4 linked regions of the Cricetulus griseus genome follow. The protein of the gene in region 3 interacts with the protein of the main gene of each other region in a biochemical or structural test. Links are inferred from orthologs where the notes say so. Each region holds a gene or a part of one and is shown on either strand. Other genes may lie near its edges. The genes, in order: Rps6kb1, Akt1s1, Rptor and Mapk1.

Region 1 (4,252 bases), about 32 Mb from region 3:
TGAACTCAGGACTTCTGGAAGAACAGTCAGTGCTCTTAACCTTCAAGCCATCTCTCCAGCCACATAGCCTTTATTCTTATAGAACAAAATGGTATATACAAATTTATGGATTAAAAAAGTTATTTTACTATTCTACCATTCCTTTATTCCATCCTTTGACTTAGAACTGAGAATCAGAAGTGTTGGGGCCATAGCTTGGTGGTAGCATGCACAAAGGGTTCAGCTCCCAGAACAGAAAAATAATTTTAAAGGAATACCTCAAAATCAATAACAAGGAGTTCAGAATCAGAATCTTAGAGTTTGGGATAGGAAGGTACAAATACAGACATGGTTCCCATAATGTACTTTGTCAATTTTATCATTTTTCCATTAAAAAAACAAGTTTTGTTTTTTCTTTAATTTCAAATGTATGAATGTTTTGCCTACATGTATATATATATACACTACACATGTGCCTGGTGCCAGTAAAAACCAGTTCCAGAATCCACGGACAGACATTATAAGCCACCATGTGGTTACTGGGAATTAAACCCAGATACTTTGCAAGAACAGCAAATGCTCTTAACCACTAAGCCATCTCTCTGGTCCCTCACAAACCTTTTTTTTTTTTTTTTTTTTTTTAAGATTTATTTATTTGTTATGTATACAGTGTTCTGTCTGCATGTATCCCTGCAGGCCAGAAGAGGGCACCAGATCTCATTACAGATGGTTGTGAACCACCAAGTGGTTCCTGGCAATTGAACTCAGAACCTCTGGAAGAGCAGCCAGTGCTCTTAACCTCTGAGCCATCTCTGCAGCCCTACAAACATTTTTTTTTTTAAGTACTATTTAGAACATTTATATAAGCCCCACCATTTTCTGCCTAAGTGTTTACATTGGTTAATTATCTCATGACAATTAGGGTCATTCTATCAAGAGCGAAGGATCCTTAACTGTTCACAGCTTGAAGATGCCTTCGTCTTCTAGTTTGTTCCTTGAGTAAACTGCAATCTTCCCAGTTCAGACTACAGCAGCAGAAATGGAGCTGCAAGCACATGCAGCTGCTGCCAACACTCACTTTGCAACTGTACAACATATTAGTTTCTCTGATTAACCTATGCCTATTAACAATTTTGTACTAGGGCTGTATCAAATAATCTGGTTCAATTTTAGTCTTTTTCTTCCTCAAACATTAGGTAAAACTATAAAAAAATTTGTTTTCACATGCATGGTGGTGGCATATATGTATAATCCCAACACTTGGGACATTGAAGCAGGAAGACCCTACCTAAGTTCAGTGCCAGTCAGCTATACAGCAAGACCATGTCTAAAACAAAAAAATTTTGCTTCTACTACTTATGCATTTTTTGTCTTTAAAAATCAATGGCATAAGCCAGGTGTTGGTGGCGCATGCCTTTAGACCCAGCACTCGGGAGGTAGAGGCAGGCAGATCTCTGCGAGTTCGAGGCCAGCCTGGTCTCCAGAGCGAGTGCCAGGATAGGCTCCAAAGCTACACAGAGAAACCCTGTCTCGAAAAACCAAAAAAAAAAAGCATAAATCAAAATTAACATCTGAATTGGCTTTGGTGACACAACATTTTATATAAGATTTTTTTTTCAAGTTGTAAAGAATAGCTAATATCTTTAACTCTCTTTAGGCTCAGTTATAAATACCAAATACTTTTAAGTACGAGTAAGTCTTACGATGTTACATATTCTGAGGAAGAAATATGCAACAGAGGGGGGGGGGGAGGAGGCTTGCAAAGGGCCATGACCTGTGTGGACTGACTGACAGCAGATTATTTACTATGGAACTGTTCATGGCAAAGCTCCACCTTGGTGATTGAGCATGATGTTCTCCGGCTTCAGGTCTCTGTAGATGATCCCCTTTTGATGTAAATGCCCCAAAGCCATGGAGATTTCAGCCAAGTAAAAGCTGGAAACAGAAGTGATTTAATAAAAATTTAAAAAGCAATCTATCCAAAGCAGTTTATGTATGGAATAAAATTCCTTGAAAGAAACAGACATGCACCAAAGACCAAATTAGTGGGGGTGGAAGAATGTACTGGGAAAAAAAAGATGGCACAGGATGATGCTACAATGCCGAGGGACATTTGTCACTCATTTTAGTCAAACTATACCATGTTTTATTTTTCCATTAGAACATACTGCTAAAATTGCAAATTGTCCTGTCTATTCTAACTATTATTGATTAGGTTCTGCTCTCTGTGTGTAGGAATTAGGCCAACAGTCATTCAGATCAAACAAATTCCTCCCACCCTCCCCCAACTTTAAGATTCCACAGGAAATAGGGACTTTCTTATTCTCAGAAATCAAGTCTTGATCCATATAGCCTGACCTGTGGAAGCCCACTCATCCCTTACATAATATAGCTGTGTATTTATAGACAGCAACGCCCACAGTATCTGCCCACCCTCTTGCCAGCCAGCCCACAACTATATATAAACTGTGTGACACTCAAATTTATCTACCTCAAAAGAATAAAGGGCTGAATCACCCCTGTCTGGATTCGAAAAGCACAAAGCACTGCAATACTGGCTGTGTAACAATGTTGCAATCCTGCAGATTACTCCAGGATGGAGAGGGTGTGTCCTAGAGGACTGAGGCAGTTTCACAGCCAGCAGGACCACAGCCTCCAACAGGGCTCAGAGAGCCTTCTCCAAAAAAGGGCACTTCATCCCTAAGGCTCTTAAATGCAGCTTCTGTGTTAGAAAAGGCCTGAAATTAAACAATGGAATGCAGTTTGGTAATTAAGATAGAAAAAACATTTAAGTGTTTTCTATTCAATTAATGTGTATGTCAAACTGATTTACTGTTACCCAATACGGTCACTTCACAAAAGGATGTGTATATTTTTAATTTGAAGTAGATGCCATCTTACGAATAGGAGGGCAGATCCCATCCTGGCTATAAAATCAATCCACAGATGTGTATTCAGGTTTATCACCTCCCTAAGACTGCACCTTGGGAACTGGAAAGTCTAAAAAAAAGAGGAGATGATTTCTGATACTTTCCATTGCTCCACATACAAGATTTCACTGGAAAACCACACTCACCCACAACCAAGACAAGCAGCTTACCAATTCAAGGAAATTCTGCAGTGAAGAGCGGTCCACCCAAGGCCTGGGGGCAAAGGAATCACGTGACCTCCAATAGCTGCCCAGTCCCAAAGTTCCCCCTTGACTTCTGAGTGACTGACTGGCTCCAGATCAACTTATTGAATAGTGTGGCTGCCCACAGTGGGAATGTAGTTTTGCTTTTAATTATATGAAACATTACCTGAATCCATACAACCACAAAAATTTTACTTACCAAGCTGTGTCTTCCATGAATATTCCCTCTCTTTCTAACTGCATAAATAGTTCTCCTCCTATAAAGGAAAAGTATTAGTAATAAATATCTTTACTTCAACCCTCTTCTAATGAGTTTGTACTTTCTTCTACATATAAGATTAACTCCTTAAAAACTGGCTTGTAATTCCAGTTTTTATACATGCAAACTTCAAAATACATACAGATTTCAGACCTAAGGTTTAAAAGTCTTGACTGAAGTCTTTCTAGCACCTTTTGGATATGTAAAAAAAAAAAAAAAAAAAAGTACATAATTAATTCACCCAAATTTTAGTGAATGTAACTGTTCCCCATTATCAGAACCTTTATATAAACTGAATGAACCTGACAGTGGCATAATTTGAGTATCAAAGTAAATTATAATAAAGGTTTATACTGTCCTGAGTTATCTTAAAATCCAGGAACCTATAATGATAAAAATAAATGAACAGATAAAGTTTTCAATGGAGAAAGAAAAGCTCTGTATAAGTAAAAGTGGCATGATGGAGTAAGAAAAATCACTTGGCAAACACCACATTAACTGTTGCAGTCAAGAATCAATGGATGCCAAAACTGGACCTGAAAAGCCTGATGAGATGAGATACTCAAGTAATCCCAAAGCATCTCCTCAGGAGATGCTTATTAATTCCAGAGGGGAAACCTGACAGACACCACCTTACACATGTGACCACAACAAACATCAACAGCAGTGGGACAAAGATCTCAATACCATGTACCTCCTGTTCTGAACTGCTAAGAAGGAATACAATGTCGCTTGGACAGTCCCATCAAAAATGCATAACCTGAATCTACTCCCAAAGAAATATCAAATAAACCCAAATTGAAGGCATTCTATAGAAACTGGGATATATTCTTTTTAAAAATGTCAGCATAATGACAGAGAGATTTAAGAACTGCTCCAAA
Region 2 (4,774 bases), on a different chromosome or scaffold from region 3:
GGTTTGTTCTTTGAGGCAGAATTGATGTTAACTCCTGTGACTACTAAACCCATCTCCCTGTTGCTTGAATGGCAGATGTGCGCCACGGGGCTGGCCTTCACTCCTCTGAGACAGCAAAGGAAACCAGCATTTGTCCCTAGCATTGGAAGCCTGTGGCCCCTTCACACTCTTCCTTTGTTCGATGATGCTGGGTTCTCTGCTGTAAAACGGAATGATCACTCCCACCTCGTGGGGCAAATACACTAAAGCTGAGCATGACGGGGTAGATGGGAAATACTGCCCAAAGATTAAGGATGCAGTACAGGCCACAAAGTGAAACTGTCTCAAAAGGAAAAATAAGAGGCTGGAGGGATAGCTCAGAGGTTAAGAGCACTGGCTGCTCTTCCAGAGGTCCTGAGTTCAATTCCCAGCAACCACATGGTGGCTCACAACCATCTGTAATGTAGTCTGGTGCCCTCTCTGGCCTGCAGGGATACATGCAGGCAGAACAGTGTATACATAATAAAAAAAAAAAAAAAAAGGAAAAATAAAAGGGAGGCGACCCATATGACTAGTTTGAAGGTGACAAACAGCCCACCCTCACCCCTGCCCTTCGAACAGTGGGAGATGGAGGTTCCCAGCCTGGCTTTCCACCCACTTCCACCATCATGCTTCTGAAAACCAGATTTTTCACCTGTCACAGAATGCTGTCTCAAACCCCGAACTTTTTATTTGCAGGAGAGCCTCAGAGTAACACTCACACAGTAAATACCACACACTCACTAGAGTTGAACTTTAATCTCAGAGCGCCCCTCCCGACTCCTGGCCCCCACCCTACTCTCCCGCACCCAGGGCCAGGGCCGGAGAGTGGGGCCCCCTCCCATGGGTGGGAGAGGGCCCTTTAAGGCACCTGTTTGGGTCGTGGGGGAGAGGGGGTCGGGGGCAGGAAGCTGGTACCGTCCTGGGTGCAGGACAGACTTTGATGGACAGGCAGTAGTTGGGTGGAACCTATGGGGGCGTCAGACGCAAAAAAGCAGGCCCCGACTATCCCCGTGGGGAACCGGATACAAGTGTCAGGCAAAAACAAAAACAAAACCCAGCCCTAGTAGTGTAACAAACTCAAGGCCTCTGACCAGTTCTGGGTTCCGGAGGGCTTGGCCACACCCCCAGGAGGCCAGGGCCAATGGGATGGGGAGTTCAAGAAGGGCGGCCTGCGACTCTCCGGACTTGGGCGGAGCCACCACCTGGTCCCGCCGCTGGGCTCCGCTCTTGGGCAGGAGCCCAGGATATGCGGGTAAAGCTTCTGTTGCTAGGCAAGAAACGGAGTTGGAGTTGACCCACTGAGCGTTTTAGAACTAGCCCTACTCCAAACCGGAGCGAGCCAATCCCGTAAAGAATTGTCTTGTTGCTGGGCAGAGCAAGGCTCGAAAACCCAATGGCCTTTCTCCGGCCGCTCAGTATTTCCGCTTCAGCTTCTGGAAATCGCTGGTGTTGAGCCGCGGCCGCGGCAGGTCTCCGAAGACCTGGGTGTCCTCGGCCTCCCGCAGCACCAATGCCCGCATGCTAGCGGCGATTCGGTCCAGGTCGGGCGAAGAGGGCTGCGAAGGGAGGAAACGCTCAGTGGCGCAGGGCAGCGGGCAGGGCAGGTGCCGCCTCCCAGCCTCCCAGAAACCCTCTTGCCCGGATTGTCCCACAGGCTATGGGCTTGAACCCCGCGGGGCGTCATACGGGGAGGGACCTGGTCCTGGGAGGCTGGAGGAAGTTATGTGTTCCCCTCAGTGTCTTGTTTTCCCCTCTGCCTCAGGGAGTTTTCTGTGAAGGAAGGATCAGGCCAGCACAGCCTGAGAGGGCCACACACACGGAATGGTGTTGGGAGAAAGGAATCTTGGGAGCTAATCTGACCCTGAGCCTGTTTGCCTATCTGACCCCCCCCCCCAAAAAAAAAAAACTATTTTGGACAGACAAGGGGCCTTCTTCCTAAAGCACAGTGGGGTCTTGGGATTGAGAAGAGAGCCACATTAGCCAAGGCAGGGGGCTCCCTGCAGCAGGCCACTCTGGCCCATCCCACCTGTCTCGCCCCCCCCCCCTCACCGGGCCGTTTTCCTCATCTGACGATCGCGCTTCTGTCCTCTTCTCCTTGAAGGCCCACACTGGCACTGACACTGGTAGAGACTTAGCGTACTGCTGGGTGGGCAGGGCTGAGGCTGGCGGCTTGGGGCACGCTGGGGGACCGGCGGGGGTCTCCTCACTCAAGCTGCCGTCTGTGATACAGGGAGGCTTCAGCTTCTGTCCCTCTACCCCTGGCCTGGCCTCCTAAGGCTTGGACAACCCAGGATCCTCACCATCTGTGCTCTCCGGGTCTGACTCGCAGAAGGGGGGCAGGTCCTGCAGAGTGGCATCCTCATCCATCATGAAGAGTCCTGTGGGTGGGACAGGCCTCAACATTCTTCATTTGCTGTCTGGTTACTCAGGCCCCTTCCATATCAGGAGCCCACTACTATCTTCAACATGGAACTTTTTTTCTTTTTTCTTTTTTTTTTTGGTTTTTCGAGACAGGGTTTCTCTGTGTAGCTTTGGAGCCTATCCTGGCACTCGCTCTGGAGACCAGGCTGGCCTCGAACTCACAGAGATCCACCTGCCTCTGCCTCCCGAGTGCTGGGATTAAAGGCGTGCGCCACCAACGCCCGGCCTGAAACCTCTTTTAAGATCTGCTTGGGACAATGTAACCCAAAGTAGTTTTTAAAAAAAGAAAAAAAAAAAAAAAGGTGGTCTGGTAGGGAGAAATGAAAGACTCTTTGGCCATACCACTGGCTCCAGAGCCCATACTCTTCATGACATACTGGCTTTCTCAGGAAGGATGAGGTGACCAGCAGTAAGCATTGATAGCAAATAAGTAATTCCTATACCCTCAAAGCCCTGCGGTTACAATACAGTCTCTAAATCCAGCTGCCCAATGTGGATTCCATGGGGCATGGGAGATGCCTGAGCCCAACATCACGTAAAGAAAGGGTGCCTGGAACCTCCTGGCTTCCTCTGCTGTCGCAGTACCCCCCCCCCCTGCAAACTTCTCCACCCTTCACGAATGGGCCAGCAGCCGCTACGCTTTCTTTCCAGAGACACCTGCATCTCTCAGAGAACCATGCTCTAGTTCCTTGGCCAGACCAGAAGCCCTCAAGGAAGCCGTTTGTTCAACATATCGTGTTATGTGCTGTTGGACCTTGTGTGTGGCTGCTAGGGAGTACTGTCATAAGGATGCATTAGGACAACCAGCAACCCCATCCCAGCACCAACCCCACCAGCTCACCTCCATTATCACTACCGCCCAGCCGCTCCCCAGAGGTCTCTGTCTCAGTGGGCTCGTCCTCATCTTCCTCATCATCATCCTTGGCCAGGGCTGGTTGATGTGGAGGGCTAGAAGCAGGGCTGGGCGGCTGTGGTGCTGGTGGGGGGCCAGGCCGGGTGGCAGTAGCAGCCCTGTGTGCCTGTGCGATGTCGTGGAGGCAGCGGCGGGCGGCCTCTGCCAGGGCCCCGCGGCCATGGGCGGCATAGGCACAGGGCCCTGGGCGAGGTGGCGGCGGTGGCGCTGCAGTCAGCAACACCAGCTCTGTGCCAGTACGGGCCCGGAAGCGCTCGGCGGCCCCCACGACCGCATCCCACAGTTCCTCCGGCCGCCCAGACGCCATCCGCGCCCTGTGGGCCAGAGCAGGACAGAGGGGCTGAGGCGGCGCTGCTGCTACTGTCGCTACCAACCATGAGGGTTGACTGCCCCAATGTAACTCCCCTCCCACAGCATGCATGCGCCCCAGCTGAGCTCCACCCCTTTCCCAAGTAGGCTTCCTCTGGGACCTATATTAGCCACCATCAAGTCCAGCCCTAGGTTTCATCTTGGCCCCATCCTGTTCCAAACAGGAGCCAAAGTCTTGAGTCTTCATCTTTGTTGGTCATGGGCACTGTAGCCAAGCTAGTTTATGGTTATTTCAGTTTGGGTTCTTCCTATTTTTTCAGACAGGGTCTGAAATTGGTGGTTGGCCACAAATTCACTACGTGGACAAAGGTGACTTTGAAGTCCTGATTCTCATGTATCCAATGCCTGAGTGCTGGGGTTACACATGCACACCACACACCTGGTTTATGTGGTGCTGAGAACTAAACCCAGAACTTCATGAGTGCTGGCAAGCACCAACTAAGCTGCATCAAAGCCTGTGTACTTTTTAAGACAGGGCTGGCAGGTAGCCTTAGCAATCCTCCCTCCTCTGCTACCCAAGTAGCTGGAATTAAAGGTGTGAAGTACCACACAGCCAGCCTGATCAAAGTCTTTGAAGACTCACATGAATATCATGTGCACCTTTTTCCATGGCATGTAGGATGTTAATACACATTTGAGCCAGGCATGGTGGCATACACCTGAAATCCCAACACTCAGAGGCTGAGGCAAGACTGTCATGGCTTTGAGGTCAGCCTCAGACACAGACTGGTCTCAATGAAAACCACAGGTGACTTTGATGGTTTCTGTAGCACAACACGCAGGCCACTGCCAGGCCACCATCTTTCACTTGGTCCAGCAGGCCTCTTTCAGTGCAGTGGAACCCTGCCCTCTAGAGTTTTTAGGATCAGATGTATCCCACACTCAGCTCATTGGCCTTCAGGTCATTTGATGAGGGAGATGCTCCCTCCCCAGCTCCCCATTAGGCTTTCAGGGTCACATTCTCTCTCTCTCTCTCTCTCTCTCTCTCTCTCTCTCTCTCTCTCTCTCTTGTTTTTCGAGACAGGGTTTCTCTGTATTGTTTTGAAGGCT
Region 3 (4,770 bases):
AAGCAGAGACAGGTACATCTGTGGGAGTTCAAGGCCAGCCAGGTCTACATAGTTATCATCAGGCCAGAAAGGGCGACATAGTGAGAGCCTATCGTTAAAAAAAAAGTTTAAAGGGGGCTGGAGAAATGGCTCAGTGGTTTAGAGCACTGACTGCCCGCCCTTCCAGAGGACCTGAGTTCAATTCCCAGCAACCACATGGTGACTCACACCATCTATAATGGGATCTGATGCCCTCATCTGGCCTGCAGGCAGACATGCAGATAGAGCCCTCACATATATAAAAACACATAAACAAATAAACAAATCTTAGAAAAAGAAAAAAAGAAAAGCTGGCCCTGGTGATGCACATCTGTAATAACTAGCATTCCAGGAGACTAAAGCAAGAAGACTGCTGCAAGCTTGGTGCCAGCCTGGGTTATGCAGCAAGTACCAAGGCAGCAGCCACAACCATGACACAAGGGCCATCTCAAATAAACAGACTTTCTGGCTTACAGGAAAGAGCTCACTGAGGCCCAAGTGCCTCATCAATGAACACATCCTTCCAGAAAAGGCACCAGACACTAAGTCAGCCAACCTGTGGCATCTGTCTTTAAGCATGAGACACTCTCCTAACCTGCCCAGTTTCGTTCATTCACAACACCTTCCAACTCGTGTGGCCATTCAATCTTGCAGCCTCTATTCAGGAGACCCTGTGACACCAAGTCTCACAAACTTACTGAAAATGTCAGCTGACAATTTTCCTCTTCACTGAACAATTTGAAAAGGCCAGAGGCAGCAAACTTTCTTCCCTGATCTTCTAAGTAGCAAGTCAGGAGTTACTAAGAACTTACATTCCCCCCACCCCCACCCCAGGCAGGTTTCCCTGTAGACCAGGCAGGTCTCAAACACAGAAACTGGCCTGCCTCTGCCTCCAAGATGCTGGGATTAAAGGTCACCACCCAGCAAAACAAACACACACACACTTTAATGATAGGTGTTCTGCCCCCAGTGGTGGCGCACACCTTTGATCCCAGCACTCGGGAGGCAGAGTTAGGTGGATCTGAGTTCGAGGTCAGCCTGGTCCTCAAAGCTACACAGAGAAACCCTGTCTCGAAAAATCAATAATAATAATAATAATAATAATAATAATAATAATAACAACAACAACAACAACAATAGGGGTTTGCCTGCACGCACATAACTCTTGAGCTTGATTCCCAGCACCAATAAAACTTGACATGATGGTGCACACCCCACCCCAGGATCAGAAACTCAGGGTCATTCCTGACAACATGGCAAGCCAGCCTGGACTACGAGAAACCCAGCCTCAAAAATAAAAAAAAAAAAAGAAATTAAAAAGTAATGCCTACATTAAAGTGCAGCCTAGTGGTGGTGGTGGTGGTAGGGCCACACGCCTTTAATCCCAGCACCAGGAGGCACAGGCAGGTGGATCTCTGTGAGTTCGAGGCCAGCCTGGTCTACAGAGCGAGTTCCAGGACAGCCAAGGTTACATACACATCAGTTTAAGTGCAGGTTTAGGGGGCAACAGAAACCACATTTCTAAAGAACAGAAAAAAATTTAAGTGAAAACTTCACCTAGAATTTAAAAAAAGAGTTGCTTTAAAACAAATTTTATATATGCATTGCAACCAAAACATTATCTCGTCATAACTAGTTATCTCGTCATAACTAGTAACCCAAGTTACTAGTTATGTCCATAAAACGGGCTTTTTATGCAATCTCTCTAAACCATCAGTTTATTATCTGTATTGTTCTTCTTTGCCACAAGGTTTACACTCAGTAGTACAGGCTAGCCTGGAACTGACTGTGACACTCCTGCTTTAGCCTGCAGAGTGTCAAACATGCCCAATCTAAACTGCTTTTGAATGAACTTTTGTTTGTTTGTTGTTTGTTTGTTTGTTTGTTTTTTTGAGACAGGGTTTCTCTGTATTGCTTTGGAGGTTGTCCTGGAACTCACTCTGTAGACCAGGCTGGCCTCGAACTCACAGAGACCTGCCTGCCTCTGCCACCCGAGTGCTGGGATTACAGGCCTGCGCCACCACCGCCCAGCTTGATTGAATTTTTATAACCTAAAATTCAACCCAATCAATAACCAAAACATTGGTTACTTCTAGAACTATGTTAAGTGTTTGACATCATGCACCTTTTTAAAACAACCGCCTCCTGTAAAAATACACATAAACTATAAACAAATGATGCGTGACAACAGCAATTTCCTCTTTTATACTGAAAAGTTCACAGGAATCAAAGAAGCCTGGCAGGAGTAAACAGTAAAGGCAAACTGAGAGTGCCCCCCTTTTGTTAGACTATTAGAGGGTGGAAAGACGAGCTCAGCAGAGCTGAAGCTGTCTCATGACACTCCAACACCATGAGAGCTGCCTAGAACCTGAACCCAAGTTCCAACCTCTGGGGAGAGTCTCTTCCACTGAAGACACAGCAGCAAGAAGTCACATACACGGGGAGTCACGCTTCCAAACAAACCGTTTGTAGGACTGGGATGGAGCGCGCTGCAACTACCTTGTCAAGTACCCTGTTTCCTGGCACTTTGCACCAGACAGCTGTCCTGGCTATTTCAAAAACCAGACCACAAAAGCAGACTAATTGCGCGGGTTCATGTCTTATTTCCCAAACTGTCTTTCCTCTAAGTGTTACTAAGTATATTAAAAGACACATAAGCATCTGCGGTACAATTAGCTCTTAATTTGATTTTTTTTCCCTGAATTAAAAACTTCATCTGAATTCACGAAGTAACCTCTTGGCCATACCAGCCACGTACATCTACGTTCAACCAAAACCGGAGTCTGGAGCAGCTGCTGGGTTTTAGTTTAACATGCCGCACGTGGCTTCCAGATACTACCACCCCCCCACCCCACCCCCAAGAAGCTGTCCTTGCTCAGGACTTTGTGACTCTGAGAAACTTTCCAGGTCCGGGAGGCGGATGCCATGGGGACCACTTACCCGATCCTTCATTCTCCAGCTCTGCGCTAAAGACTTGGAGCCTTCAATTTTCTCGCAGTGTCTCTTCTTCATAAAAGCCAGAGGCAGGTTCCAGTCTGTCACGTCGGCCTCCTCGTCCTCCCCGAGTCCCACCAGAGGCGACGGCAGCATCTCCGCCTCCATCGGGGGGAGGGGGAGGGGGGTCCGGGGCAGCAAGCGCTCAAGGACCTCCAGCCTGAACAGCTCGTGGGGCCCAAGCCGAGGGGCCAGACTCGGCGGCGGGGAGCCGGGGTGCGCGGAGCCGGGGTGCGCGGAGCCGGGGCGCGGGCGGGAGGCGCGGGAGGGGGTTCCAAGGAGGGGCTCTCGCTCGGGATCGCCAACTCCGGGCGGGAAGTCGGTCGGAGGGGGCGGCGGGCGGGGCGGGCGCCCGGGCGCCGGGCCGCTCGGCGGCGCGCTCGGGCCTGGGGTGACCCTGCTCTCGGCGGATCCGGGGCCGCAGGCCGCCCGCTCGCGGGACAGGCCTCGGGGTCGGGCTCCGGCGGTTCGGGCTCAGGCCGCCGCGCTCAGCCCTGCGGGTCCCGCACTCGCCTGAGGGGCTGCAACCTGAGGCGGGACCGGCCCATCGCGCCCGCCCGCAGCCGGCTCCTCAGCCCCCGGTCCCCGCGGCCTGGCCGGCGCCGGCCCTCGGCTTCGCGGCTCCCTCCTGCCCGGGAACGAGGCCCGAGACTCGCGCGACACGGGCCCGCGAGCCACACGGGAGAAGCGGGCTGAGGAGGTCGGGGGAGTTTTGCCCTCTGCTCTGGAGCAACAGTGAAACTCCTCTCATCAGCACGTCAAGGAGGACGCCATGTTGCCCGGGACCCAGCATGCACCGCTGCCGACGGCGTGTCCAATGTGCCAAACCTCTTCGAGCGTTCTCGCCGCTCGACCCGAAAGAGGGCCGAGCTCTCAGGGTGCCGCCCTCCCCGCCCCCCACTCCGTTACCGGGGTTACCACGTCCTTTCCCCTTAGCTGATCTCGGTTGGCTCCCGGGACTGGTGTTACAAAAATCAATCCTGCCGTTGAAGCCATGCCCGCTCGGAGATCTTTAAGAGCTTTTGCTACTACAAGCACAGCCATGTCCTTTATATTAAAGTAAAAGGCCACTCTGTTTCGTCCTGATTTTAAAAGGTGGTTTAAGAAAAAAAAAAAAATCAGAAAGAACCATTGATAGTAGACACATAAAACTGGGGTCCTTTTTTGTTTGGTTTGGTTTTTGTTTTTTCAAGACAGGGTTTCTCTCTGTGTAGCCCTGGCTGTCCTGGGAATCGCTCTGGAGACCAGGCTAGCCTCGAACTCACAGAGCAGAGATCCACCTGCCTCTGCCTGCGGAGTGCTGGCATTAAAGGCGTGTGCCACCACTGTCCGGTGGGACTTTCTTTTTAATATTTCCATTTTTAAAAGGAGAAAGATGGCGCAGTGGTGGCAGCACAGTCCTGGCTGTCCTGGAACTCACCCTGTAGACCAGGCTGACCTCAAACTCGCAGAGCTCCTCCTATCTATCGGGATTAAAGGTGAGCGCCACCACCACCAGTTTTGATTATGAATTTTTGTCTCATCTATCTTTTGTCTGGGCAGTTTATACTTATCTTGCTACAGCTTCGTGTACAAATGACTAAAGCTCCCGCTGTCTGCTCACTGAAGCAAGCCTCGTGCAGTACCTGCTCTCTTCCAATTCAGTAAATCTGTTATTGACATATCCTGAGAACTATGATGGTGCAACGGGAATATAAATTAAACATGACATGTGGTGTCAGCCTTGCAGAACCAGGGTGCTTACTGAGACACTCTTAA
Region 4 (4,252 bases), on a different chromosome or scaffold from region 3:
TATTGATCTAAGGTTGCATAACCCTGTGACTGTAATATTAAAAACTATAGCATTATATACTTTAACTATGTGCATATATCTCAGTAAAGAAACTTTAAAAAGTATATGTAGATGTGTAGGAATAATTTCTTGAGTTTTCAGTTAAGTGAACATTTCTTTGTGAAGCTTTGTTAGGTATGCCAAGCCAAGAAGATGAATGTCTGCCCTTGAAAGTGGAAAACCTGAATTTGATCCCTGTATTGAACAATGAGATGACCAATTCCTAAATGTTACCTTCTGACCTCTGTACACACACCATGTCACTGACACATCTACATTTAAATATATAATAAAAATAACTAAAATTTATAGTCTTAGCTGAGCTAGAAATGTATCTCACTGGCAGAGTGCTTTGATAGCATATGACCATCAGGGTTGTAGCCTCATTGGCAAGCAAGTTGTCTTTCAAAGGAGGCTCAGGGTCATTATGAGGGTTTGTAAACCAAGTGGAGAGGCTAGAGACGACGATGCATTGTGGAGAACCTCAGGAGTTCCTCTCTCTCCCCTGCGTGAGAACCCACATGGGAAGTAGCCTGCAGGAGAGTTAGTGAAGAAGAGGGTGCTCTGCCCACTTCTTTTGACAACACAGTGACATTCTACAGAACAAGTGTGCAGCTCTTTGAGAACAAAGGTGTTGCTCTGCTGCCAGGCCTGCACAGTGAGCTGGAGAAAGATACTTGAATGGTGGCAGGGAGTCTTTCTTTGTCTGTCTTTCTCAGTTACCCTCTGGGATTACTAAACAAATAGAGGTCCAAATAACTATGTCCTGTATCTGTTAGACTTATTCTTTCTTTGTTGTCCTACTCTTATGGCCAAAGTTTAAGCCCTTGGTTTTTTGATTTCTCTTTCTCTCAGTAAACTTGTTTTATTGGGTCTCAATTCTGTGGCAGAATTTTGGTCAAATTGTTTTCATTAAAATGGACTAATTTTGAAAACTAATAAATTTTAAAATCACACACACACACACACACACACACACAATGGTCCACAAAAAACAGTGGCCGTTTGGCTGGAGAGATGGCTCAGTGGTTACGAGCACTGCCTACTCTTCCAAAATTCCTGGGTTCAATTCCCACATGGTGGCTCCCAATCATCTGTAGTGAAATCTGGTGCCCTCTTCTGACCTACAGACATACATGCAGGCAGAACACTGTATACATAATAAATAAATAAATCTTTAAAAAAAAAAATCACCGTTTCTCCTGGAGGTTTTCCGATGCATTGTTATCATTAACCAGTCTTTTACTGTTGAACTTAAGTGCCGGACCTTGATTTTCAGCTGACTTAGGACAGTGAAGCCTCCATATTGATTTGTCTTCCAAATGGCCTTCTACTGTACTGTGTTCCATCTCTTAAGCTGTCTCTTTCTTGCATTGGTTTCCTGGAGACCAGAGATTATTTTCACTTATATGTAAAATTGACCTAAGTATTTAATATACACTGGAGTCTGTAAGGCAGCTGACCCAAGTAGCATCACAGTATTAAGACAGCTAGATGGTAAGAGTCCTGGGATTCAGAATGTGAGAAACTAGGTGCCACACACAGCAATGGTGGATGACAGTGATAAAGCCAGATGACCTGAGTTTAATACCTGGAACCCACATAATAGAAGGAGAGAGTCAACTTCTTCTGAAAGTCATCCTCCTGACCACCACACACACACACATATACAATACATGAATGAACTTCAGAACAAATGGTTTATCTTCAGTACATGAAAGCTTTAAAACTATCAGGATTGGCTATGTGAAAAGTAGGGAAGTGAGAAGAATTTTTGGAAGTAAAAACAAAACATTAGTTCTAGAGTAAATGGAAAACTGGCCAGAAATAGGAGTCTGAGAAATAGGACAGGGCAGACAGATTAAGGAGCAGACCACCAGTGATTCTTCGAGCCACAATTGCATGGAGAGGTAAAGGGCTCTGGGTTTGGTGATTTTTATCCTAACAGTTTTGTTTTTAAGGTTTAATTTTATTTCTATGTTTGTTTATATGTCTGTACATCGTAGTATGTCAGTGCCCAAGGAGGCCAGAAGAGAGTGTCAGATCACTTGGAATTTATAGGCAATTGTGAGTCACTCAATGTGGATATTGGTGATTACTCGGGTCCTCTGAGAGAGAAGTCTGTGCTTTTTTCACTGTTGAAATGCACAGCTCTCCAGCCCGACTAAGATAGTTTTTCTCAAATCACCTGAGTGAGTGCTGTGCACTTAATGACTGATGGTGGTGGGATGTAAACATGGTTGTCAGGTTGTGCCTGTTTCCTTACCTCCAACATAAGGTCTGTCATCACTTGAGAATGATGAGCTTGTACTAGAAAGGTGTCTAGTGTAGTATTGGTAGCATACGCTTGTAATCTTTGGTGTTGCAATTGCCTTTTTTATTTTCATAGTGTATCTCTAAGAAGGTGTCCACATTTTTTCCCCTTAGATCTGTGACTTTGGCCTTGCCCGTGTTGCAGATCCGGATCATGATCACACAGGGTTCTTGACAGAGTACGTAGCCACACGTTGGTACAGAGCTCCAGAAATTATGTTGAATTCCAAGGTAAGAAAAAGAAACAATAGCTGTAAACCTTGGTCTCCATCCTTCAGTCTGGTATATCTGGCCAGAGCCAGAGTGCTATCTTTTTCTCAGAATTGAACTTTTGGGCCTTAGGGTTTACTATCTTGAGTCATGGTGACCATAAATGTCTGTATCCACCCTTGTCTGTAGTCCTAAGGCACTAGGTGTAGAAAAAATAGAAACCACTATGGACTCTTGAAATTACAGGGTAGACATGTTTCAAAATGAAATCCTTCCTCCTTTTCACTAGATTTTTGTGAAGAGTGTATCCTGGTCATCCAAACTCTGCCAGCAAAACCTGGTCTTTAATCCCAAAACTCAGGAGGTAGAGGCAGGCTGCACTCTGTTAGTTCAAGGTCAGTCTGGTCTCCAAAGCAAATTCTAGGACAGCCAGCGCTACACAGAGAAAAATAAAACAAAACAAAAACCCAACAATCTGGATTGTGGTAATATGTGGTACATACCTTTGATCCTGGCATTCAGGAGGTAGGGGCAAGCAGATCTTTATGATTCTGCATAGCAAGTTCTAGGGCAACTCAGGCTATGAAGAGAGAGACCTTCTCTCAAACAGCAGGAAAAGGAGCAATTGGGTGCCGGGCGAAGCAGGCAGACATAATCCCAGCACTATGGAGCAAAGGTAGGAGCGTTGCCACAAGTTTAAGGCCAGTCTGGGCTGTTATGAAGCATGAATTCTGTGTTAGAACTATAAGCCAGTTAGCAAAATTGAGGACTGCTCAGGACATTGAGCTTCCATTTGGGTTTGCTGGGTTTTTTTTTTTGTTTGTTTGTTTTGTTTTGTTTTTTCTGGTAGGCATTTTGGTTTTGTTGTTGTGTGTCTGTGTGGGTTTATGCATTGCATCCTCGGGAGCTGGAATTGCAGGCAGTGATGTGAGCTACCCACTGTGACTGTGAACAGCATATGACCTGCTCTAACCCACGCTATCTATGAGGAATGTAGCGCTGTCTTAGGACTTGACTTTTATGCCATGTCTTTAATGTGCATGCACAGAAACAGTACTAACTTGAGCATATTAGAAGGCAAGGCTATTCGTGCTGATGGTGGGTGATGCTCATGTGCAATTTCTAGGTCATTCCAGAACACTGCAGATAAGAGTAATTGGAGGGAAAATAGTTTGACTGTGAAATTTTCTTTTCATCAAACTCTCAAATGTTTCTCTTACTCTTGGTGGTAACATAACCATCTTTCCTTTTGTGTTTTAGTGTTCTCTATTATTTGTTCTCAAGTTATATTGTACTCTGAATGGGATGTAGACCTCTCCCTCCCCAGCAGCTTTGGACAGCAGCTGCTCCAAGACTGTCTTCTATATATAGTCCCTGTCCCAGACCTAGAACAGCCATTCTCCCAGGAGGCCCCAATTGCTCATAATATATCTGTGTTATTGTTTGGGTTTTTCATTGTTCCCATTACTTAGGTTGGCCCAGAGCAACAGGTATTTTAGATTACAAAAGTTTTAGAAAGAATTCTACCTAGTGTATTGTTACTGCAGGACCTACTGGCTCCTCTAGTTTCCCAAATCAGCTCACTCTTCAATTTTACTAGTTGACTGCTGTTTTCTTGTTGTTTATATTTCTCTTCCCATTTATTACTATACCTAACATTTCCCTTATAGAGGCATCTTGTGCTATTGTT

Evidence for each region.
Region 1: of the proteins of Rptor (region 3) and Rps6kb1, one has a biochemical effect on the other in vitro, tested with the Homo sapiens proteins (6 studies listed by BioGRID and IntAct, with this or other methods). The link is inferred for Cricetulus griseus from reciprocal best matches to the Homo sapiens genes RPTOR and RPS6KB1.
Region 2: the proteins of Rptor (region 3) and Akt1s1 interact in a biophysical measurement, tested with the Homo sapiens proteins (2 studies listed by BioGRID and IntAct, with this or other methods). The link is inferred for Cricetulus griseus from reciprocal best matches to the Homo sapiens genes RPTOR and AKT1S1.
Region 4: of the proteins of Rptor (region 3) and Mapk1, one has a biochemical effect on the other in vitro, tested with the Homo sapiens proteins (2 studies listed by BioGRID, with this or other methods). The link is inferred for Cricetulus griseus from reciprocal best matches to the Homo sapiens genes RPTOR and MAPK1.

Annotation. Positions count from the first base shown.
Region 1 is NC_048600.1:99,765,383-99,769,634, forward strand, and holds part of Rps6kb1 (ribosomal protein S6 kinase beta-1), read right to left. Parts: intron 3,370-4,252; coding exon 3,312-3,369; intron 3,123-3,311; exon of another isoform or gene 3,080-3,122; intron 2,980-3,079; exon of another isoform or gene 2,881-2,979; intron 2,718-2,880; coding exon of another isoform or gene 2,645-2,717; exon of another isoform or gene 2,471-2,644; intron 1,915-2,470; coding exon 1,814-1,914; intron 1-1,813. UniProt on the Homo sapiens protein: Serine/threonine-protein kinase that acts downstream of mTOR signaling in response to growth factors and nutrients to promote cell proliferation, cell growth and cell cycle progression.
Region 2 is NC_048599.1:153,689,564-153,694,337, reverse strand, and holds the end of Akt1s1 (proline-rich AKT1 substrate 1), read right to left. Parts: intron 3,670-4,774; coding exon 3,284-3,669; intron 2,400-3,283; coding exon 2,322-2,399; intron 2,241-2,321; coding exon 2,071-2,240; intron 1,578-2,070; coding exon 1,434-1,577; 3' UTR 758-1,433; downstream 1-757. UniProt on the Homo sapiens protein: Negative regulator of the mechanistic target of rapamycin complex 1 (mTORC1), an evolutionarily conserved central nutrient sensor that stimulates anabolic reactions and macromolecule biosynthesis to promote cellular biomass generation and growth.
Region 3 is NC_048600.1:132,141,802-132,146,571, reverse strand, and holds the start of Rptor (regulatory-associated protein of mTOR), read right to left. Parts: upstream 3,342-4,770; 5' UTR 3,121-3,341; coding exon 2,959-3,120; intron 1-2,958. UniProt on the Homo sapiens protein: Component of the mechanistic target of rapamycin complex 1 (mTORC1), an evolutionarily conserved central nutrient sensor that stimulates anabolic reactions and macromolecule biosynthesis to promote cellular biomass generation and growth.
Region 4 is NC_048597.1:72,314,329-72,318,580, reverse strand, and holds part of Mapk1 (mitogen-activated protein kinase 1), read left to right. Parts: intron 1-2,466; coding exon 2,467-2,583; intron 2,584-4,252. UniProt on the Homo sapiens protein: Serine/threonine kinase which acts as an essential component of the MAP kinase signal transduction pathway. MAPK1/ERK2 and MAPK3/ERK1 are the 2 MAPKs which play an important role in the MAPK/ERK cascade.